2 linked regions of the Danio rerio genome follow. The protein of the gene in region 1 interacts with the protein of each later gene in a pairwise test. Links are inferred from orthologs where the notes say so. Each region holds a gene or a part of one and is shown in the gene's direction. Other genes may lie near its edges.

Region 1 (4,330 bases):
TGGGTTGCAGCTGGAACGGCATTCGCTGTGTAAAACATATGCTGGCGACCCCTGATTAATAAAGGGACTAAGCCTAAGAAAGGGAAACGAATGAATGAATGAATGAATTTTTTTTTTTTATTGTAGAACTACTGACAGGATTTGTAGTCATACTAATACCCAAGTCATGCTAACAATGTCTGATTATGTGTTATGGTGTTTTCTGCTCTGAAAATGCTAAACAGGACCCATTGGGGATTATTAATTAACTTTTTTACTGATGCTTGAAACACTATTTGTCTTTAAAAAGATTTCATTCAAAAATTAACATTTGATTTATCTTAAATGTTTCTAAATTATTAATCTGCCTGAGTTTCTTTTTTTTTTGTTGAATATAAAAAGAAGAAACTTTGAAGTATGTTGGAAACACAGTAACCATTGATTATCATTCAAATGCAAAACCATTTGTTTTCCCAACTATGGAAGTCACAGGTTACCAACATATTCTCATTATCTTTCCATCTTTTGTGTTTAACAGAATACATTTAATCAAACTTGTGAGAAGTGAAGGAAAGAAAATTAAAATATTTTTCTCTTCTGGAGAAGATCTTATTTTATTTCAGCAAGAATAAAAGTGTTTTTAATGAAACATTTTAAGGTCAATATTATTATCCCCCTTACGCAATATTTATTTTATTGTCTACTTTCTTAATTAACCTAGTTAAGCCTTAAAATGTCACTTTAAGATGAATACTAGTGTCTTGAAAAATATCTAGTCTAATATTATTTACTGTCATCATGGCAAAGATAAAATAAATCAGTTATTAAAAATAAGTTATTAAAACTATTGTTTAGAAATGTGTTGAAAAAAATCTTTCCGTTAAACAAAAATTGGGGAAGAAAAATAAAATAATTAGGATTGAACAGGAGTGCTAATAATCCTGAATTCAAATGTGTGTACTGTACACGCACGCACACATATATAATTTGTTGTTCAACAGCTCCCTCCTATGGCCATCAATAATTATACCACAAACGTATCAGCGACTGACAACACTTTCCACCAATGAAAAGAAAGATCGTCACCGCCAACGACGAATCTAAACCAATAGGAACCGCCCGATCTGAAAATAGGCGGACCGTCAGCCATTTGCGTCCACGAACGTTCTCTTTGGAAGAGAAGTCGATTCCAGAAGCCATTACGCTGCGCAATAGTGTTGGGACAAAAACGTACTATTTTTACGTATTCTACGCAATTTCCCCCCCTCTCCATCCGTCAAATTTACAACGTTATGGCATCTCAGGCCAAAAAGAGAAAAACGAACTTCTCCGAGAGGGAGGTGGAGATCATCGTGGAGGAGATGGAAAAGCAGAAGCATATTTTGGTGAATCACTTTAACGCGGGCGTCACGCACATCGCCAAAAACAGCGCGTGGATGGAGATCCTGAAGCGCGTGAACGCCGTGAGCACCTGCCAGCGCGAGCTCGCCGAAGTCAAGAAGAAATGGTCGGATCTGAAGACGGAGGTGCGGCGGAAAGTGGCGCAGGCTCGAGCCGCCATGGAGGGCACGGGCGACTGCACCACCGTGCCGGTGATCCTGACCTCCATGCAGCAGCGCATCTGCAATCTGCTGGGCGAAGCGACCATCATCAGCCTCCCGGCGGCGGACGCGGGTACGGAGATCGCGGTGCCTATCAGCTCCGCAGCCGCCGTCACTTTAACGCAAAGTAAGACACTAGCGTTAGCCCTACGCAACTTACCATGCGGAAACTGAGCGCGCTAATGCGTTTCTTACTTAGAGACTTTGTCTTGTTTGTAGTCCAAAATATCTAAACATAATTAAATCAACAGGCATTTTCTAGACAAAGTAAATGAAAAAAAAACAAACATATATAGTTATTTTCAGAAATAAATTACAGTCAAGTTTAGGTATATAGTACATTTCCATATACAATTGTAATTGAAAGTGCTTTAAATAAACAAGACGATTAAAATAAAGAATAATAAAATAAGCACACAAGTATAAGAATTAAAAACGAATAGAAATGAGTTAAAACATGGTTAAAAGGAATAAACAAGAAATAAAGTAAAAATTAAATGAGTTTTTGTTTTAAACAAGGTGTTTTTGTTTTTAATCTGTCATTGGTTTTAGTAAAATAGTCTTGATTTTGGTTTGAAATAAGTACATTTCACTACCCCATTGTCAGATTATTGTGCTTGTTTTTTAGGAAAACATGCAAATTAAACTATATATTTTCACTTGTCAAAAATGCTTCTTGATTGAATATGTTTTTAATTTTTGGACTAGAAACAAGACAAAAACAATAATAAGAAATGTATATATTTTTTTTGCTTGGAACAAACATTTTCTTTATTTGGAAAAACACAATTTATATTTCATGTTTATCACCTTAAATACATTAAGGCAATTCTACTGTACTCAGTTTACCTTTAAAATGTTGTTTACCAACATAAAAACACACTGTAGTAGGCTAAGGCTTAAGCTAAGCAATGTATAGTTATTAATGTTTTTGAGTATTCGAAATACTGAATATATTATACAACACTTCATTATCGAATGCTAGTAGTATCAACTATCTGATAAACTGTCATTTTAATGGAGTCATTTGTTTATATTAGTTGTTGTGTTACCATAGCATTACCAAAACAGATAAGCTCAAGTACTTTACTAATGCATAGCGTGATTCACAAACACCATAGTATTTACTGTAGTATTTTTAATGAGGATACAAAAGCTAATAAGCAGGGTTCACACAGGGTCATGGAAAACATGGAAAAGTCATGGAATTTTGACGTGGCATTTTCCAGGCCTGGAAAAGTTTTGGAAAAACAGAAAAAGTCACGGAAATTACATTCACATTTAGTCGTTTAGCAGACGCTTTTGTCTAAAGCGACTTAAGCTGTGGTCACGTTAGAGCATGTACTTGCGAAATTCTGTCGTATGGCGCTGTGAAAAGGGGCGGGGTTAAACGATATGATTAGACATTAATATAAGTGAGCGATTGCTCCATATTTTAAATGTCTTATTTTAAATGATTTTCTATTGGTCTCATGCAGTCACCTGATGTGATTTCGCAGGTAAGAATTCACCAAGCTTGAACTTTCGAATGCAGTAAAATGCGAAACACGTGCTTGTGTTTCTGCACTGCAAAAAATGCTTTTCTTACTTAGATTTTTTGTCTTGTTTCTAGTCCAAATATCTAAAAATTCCTAAATCAAGAAGAATTTTCTAGACAAGCAAAACATATTGTCTTGTTTTGAGAAATAATATGCCAATATTAAGTGAGTTTTTCCTTAAAACAAGCTAAATAATCTGCCAATGGGGTAAGCAAAATAATCTTACGTCAAAAGAAAAAACAAGATGTATTTGCTCACCCCATTGGCAGATTATTTTGCTTGTTTTAAGGAAAAACTCACTTAATATTGGAATATCCCTGCAGTGGATGGTGTTAGCCTGATGATAAGCGGTGCCTGTTTTTCTTTAAACACGCCTGGAATTCACTCCAAAGAGTTCCAGTTTAGTCTCATCAGACTAAAGACTAGTTTCTTATGGTCTGAGAGTCCTTCAGATGCCTTTCAGGTGTCAAGTGTCTTCCGTCTGGCCACTCTACCATGCAGGCCTGTTTGATGGATTGCTGCACAGATGGTTGTCCTTCTGTAAGGTTCTCCTCTCTCCACATAAGAACGCTGGAGCTCAGACTGAGTGACAATCGGGTTATTGATCACCTCCCTGACTAAGGCACTTCTCCCCCGATCACTCAGCTTAGATGTCCGACCAGCTCTAGGAAGAGTCCTGGTGGTTCCAAACATCTTCCACTTACGGATGAGGGAGGCAGCTGTGCTCACTGGAATTTTCAGAGCAGCAGAAATGTTTCTGTAACCTTCCCCAGCCTTGTGCCTCGAGACAATTCTGTCTCAGAGGTCTAAAGACAATTCCTTTGTCTTCATGCTTGGTTTGTGCTTTGACATGCACTGTCAACCCTGGGAGCTTATATAGACAGTGTATGCCTTATCAAATCATGTCCAATCAGCTGAATTGACCACAGGTGAACTCCAATGAAGCTGCTGAAACATCTCAAGAATGATCAGTGGAAACAGAATGTACCTGAGCTCAATTTACAGCTTCACAGCAAAGGCTGTGAATACTACTGCACATGTTTCAGCTTTTTATTTTTTAATAAATTTGAAACAATTTCAAGAATCTTTTTTTCACATTGTCACTATGGGGGATTGTTGAGGAAATCAATGAATTTAATCCATTTTGGAATAAGGCTAATAATAACATAAAGAAATGTCGGAAAAGTGAAGCGCTATCAATACTTTCCAGAT
Region 2 (3,910 bases), on another chromosome or scaffold:
GAAACAATATATGTTCGTGAGCAAAATTACAGACAGATCTCTCTTCATGTCACGCTTGAAGGCCCCACCACGAGATATCACATATCTTATACATTTCACTTAATAATTACACCCGTGCCTCTCATATATCAAGCTCTTGCCTCGGGCTCATTAGGACCCTGATCTTTTTAAACACTTAAATTTGCATCTTAAAGGTTTTTGGTGCGCGAACCTTAACACAAAACATCGCCTTGAATTAGAAATATTTCGGTTCACACATCTGTGTCGATTTTGACAATTACAAATAAATTCGGAAGTTTATTTGTCAGATACAAAGGAGGAAGGGAGAAAGAGATCACGAGAAAGATCAGGGATAATTAACCGCAGCTTCAATGCAGAGCTTAAAATAATGCAGGTGACTTTATTGTGACCACGAGTCTAATATTTAAAAGCAATTACTTGAAATTTTAACTATTTCATAAAAAAAAATTCCCTCCATAATTCGCGCAAATATTTGTTAGGAACGTGAACATTTGAAAACAAAAAAACATCTCACAGCTCAAGGTTTTCATCTGCGTTTGATTATTTGTGGGATGTAATGATCCTATGAGCAACTGGCATTGTTTTTCAAATGCCGAATTTGCGTGGGTATGTTACCAAAGGGTCCATGGGCATGTTCTACACATGTGAGATTACAGCAGCAAAACAGGTGCAAGCCCCAACCCAGCCCGTCCCAGGAGAGCTTTGGACAATTGTTCTCATTTAGGAAATATTAGCCTGGGGGCCACTGCCTCAGACAGCGCGCTTATTTTCACTGATTTTAAAAACCGTTTGTCTTTTTATTTTCCTCTTGTTCAGACATTTCAGTAGCCTGGTGCGTTGTTTTAGTGATTGAGTGAATGATAAGATACATTTTTGTCATGTTTTCTTACCAAAATAAACTGTTAATGAACGGATAGGGGGTAGCTCCAAGGAAGTAATTATAAAGTAATAATAATAATAATAATAATAATAATAATAATAGTAGTAGTAGTAGTAGTAGTTAAATGTGTAATGTATAAAATATGTATTGTTGTTGTTGTTATTGTTGTATTGTAAGCTAAACGTCAGTTTAATCGTCAACATATTTTTCATAAATAAGGCTAAACTTTAAGTGTACACATAAAAGCGTGCTTACTATGTTTAAAATAAGAATTTGTCTTTTCTTCAGGCATCTGTCGTCTCTGAAGGATTGACGCTGGTAGATGTCAGGTTTTATTACAAAAAGGTTGAAGGTCTGTGTTTGTAGACCTTCAACTAAATGGATTTGGGGAGGGAAGAGAGTCACCTCCTTTTCCTCCCCGATCTTTGTTTGTGTTGTAATATACATATTTTGGTAGGTATTATGTGGCTTTCTCAGAGCTGATTGGGCGCTCAGGTTGGCGCGTGAACGCCCTGCGATTATGTCAGATCGCGTGCAGAGCGAACCAGCCCAGCCTTTGAACTTCACCGCTTTTGGCTCTCATTCACGCGCTTCTCCTCATTTCCCAGCCAGGTGCTTCGCGGGGCGAGAATCCTCCGAGAAAAAAAGCGAGCAAACAGATCGCGGAAACTTCGCTTCCCGTGCTGGATTTTGTGGCGCGCGTGGCTGTTCTTCTCTCAGCCGAATAGTGTCGTTTTGAAGAGTCGTCATAATTCAACTAAACGACAAACACGGAAGAATTACTGGATTTTTTTCATCTCTTCTCTCTCATTGATGCCGCTTTCCTGCTCCTCCGGCTCTCTAGAACTGGCATGATCCGAGTCTGTCTGCAGGACAGGTGAATACCATTATCTCTTCGTTGCTTGAAGAACTTTTTTGTTGTTATTTTAGTAGGGAAATTTTAAACGGACGCCGTGAACATGTCAAAACCGGCAGATCACATCAAGAGACCCATGAACGCCTTCATGGTCTGGTCAAGAGGCCAGAGAAGGAAAATGGCTCAAGAGAATCCCAAAATGCACAATTCCGAAATAAGCAAAAGACTCGGCGCCGAGTGGAAGCTGCTGTCTGAATCCGAGAAGCGACCGTACATCGACGAGGCCAAGAGGCTGAGGGCTCAGCACATGAAAGAACACCCAGACTACAAATACAGACCCAGGCGCAAACCCAAGAACCTCCTCAAGAAGGACAGGTACGTGTTTCCTCTGCCCTACCTGGGCGACACGGATCACCTGAAAGGACTTCCGGTCTCAGCCACGGACTCACTCTTAGGTTCTTCGGAAAAAGCCCGTGCGTTCCTGCCACCTACATCTGCCCCTTACTCCTTCCTCGACCCGAGCCAGTTCAGCTCCAGCGCCATTCAGAAGATGACAGAGATGCCCCACACGTTGGCCACCAGCACTTTACCTTACGCATCATCTCTGGGATACCAGAACGGTGCATTCGGGAGCCTGGGTTGCCCCAGCCAGCACACTCACACCCACCCGTCGCCAACAAACCCGGGGTACGTGGTGCCGTGTAACTGCACCGCATGGTCGGCGTCGAGTTTACAGCCGCCTGTTGCCTACATACTCTTCCCAGGTATGACCAAGAGTGGGATTGACCCGTACTCTTCAGCACACGCCGCTGCTATGTGACTCCACCACAAACAAAACAAACAATCTCCTCTTTGAAAACTTGAATACAGCAATGCATGTACATAAGAAGAGAGGAATGATCGAGACATTTATACTACTGAAGCCGGTGGACACGAACTTTTTCACCATCTACGAGAGGTTCCTCGGATCCCAGCATGGATCTTGGAATAGATGTAAGGCAGGTGCCCAGAACTGTAAGAAATGTAAATGTTCAAACGTTTATTATTATGGCTACCGAATTTGGATGCCTTTAATTTTATTTATTATGTACAATTTGATGCTATAATAATGATAATTTTGTTTGAACAGTTAATATAATTGTTATTCTCCTCATATTATTATTATTATTATTTGAAAGACTTTGATTTGCACAACTAACGGTTAGAATTTTTCTTGTACAGCCTGATGTATTTACCATTATTTTTGGCACTCTGAAATTCAAATGAAACTAGGGTTTCAAAGTGAGGAATTCAGCGTTTAATAGAATATACGGGTTATATTGTTTATCATTATAAAAACCGTCACCTAAAATTAGACAGTCTATTTAAAATTTCAAGTGAAAAAAATAATTATAATCTTTTTTTTTTCTTTTTTTTTTGGACATTTCTTTTTCTGTGGTTCAGTGCTAGTCACTCGTTCATTTGATTTCAGAAACTACAAAGTTTGAAGCGAAACAGTTCATGTTGTATTTTTTATCTGCGATGGTAACTTAAATCCTGTCATGTTTATGGAAAGGAAAATGTATCTAAAAAAGGGTGATACCTCGATTCTTTGTTCATTTGCAGAGCAAAGACATTTTGAATAAAGACAATCTGTCTTAAAAATTCATCACCTTTCTCATATTGCCTATTTAAACCAATATTGAATTGTTGTTTACTATGTTGTTGTACGGTCGTGCCAAGAGGCATGTTGGAAATAAGGTGAACCCGAACACGCGTTTAATAGTTTTTATTTATCCAGTTATACCGTGTTTTATTTCTACCTTAAAATCTACAATTTTTCTCGGGCATATAGAAGTATACAGGCCTTGCCTGCTTAGCATAAAACAGATATTTGTCGTACTCTGATTAGATATCTACAATAATTATCTTCTCAATCAGCACCGCTTAAATAATCCAGCGTTTCGGCCGTAGCAGTCTTAATAACCATCTGGCTTTTCGGCATAGATTTGAGATGAACTCTGTCAGCGCGTGGCGTTCCCGAATGCTCTTTAGGGACCCTCTGTCCAAATTAAATGGCAAAACAATTACTGTACAGAGACGCTTAGGGAAACTGAGGGCAAACATGAATTGTGATTTACTCCGAGATCCACAATAGGATGAAAATTGGACTG

Evidence for each region.
Region 2: the proteins of naif1 (region 1) and sox14 interact in binary tests that used the Homo sapiens proteins (3 or more experiments, as listed by UniProt). The two-hybrid records come from large-scale screens. The link is inferred for Danio rerio from reciprocal best matches to the Homo sapiens genes NAIF1 and SOX14.

The regions. Positions count from the first base shown.
Region 1 is NC_133183.1:3,872,024-3,876,353, forward strand, and holds the start of naif1 (nuclear apoptosis-inducing factor 1), read left to right. Parts: upstream 1-1,271; coding exon 1,272-1,653; coding exon of another isoform or gene 1,654-1,707; intron 1,708-4,330. UniProt on the Homo sapiens protein: Induces apoptosis.
Region 2 is NC_133181.1:29,053,259-29,057,168, reverse strand, and holds sox14 (transcription factor Sox-14), read left to right. Parts: upstream 1-1,462; 5' UTR 1,463-1,860; coding exon 1,861-2,577; 3' UTR 2,578-3,405; downstream 3,406-3,910. UniProt on the Homo sapiens protein: Acts as a negative regulator of transcription.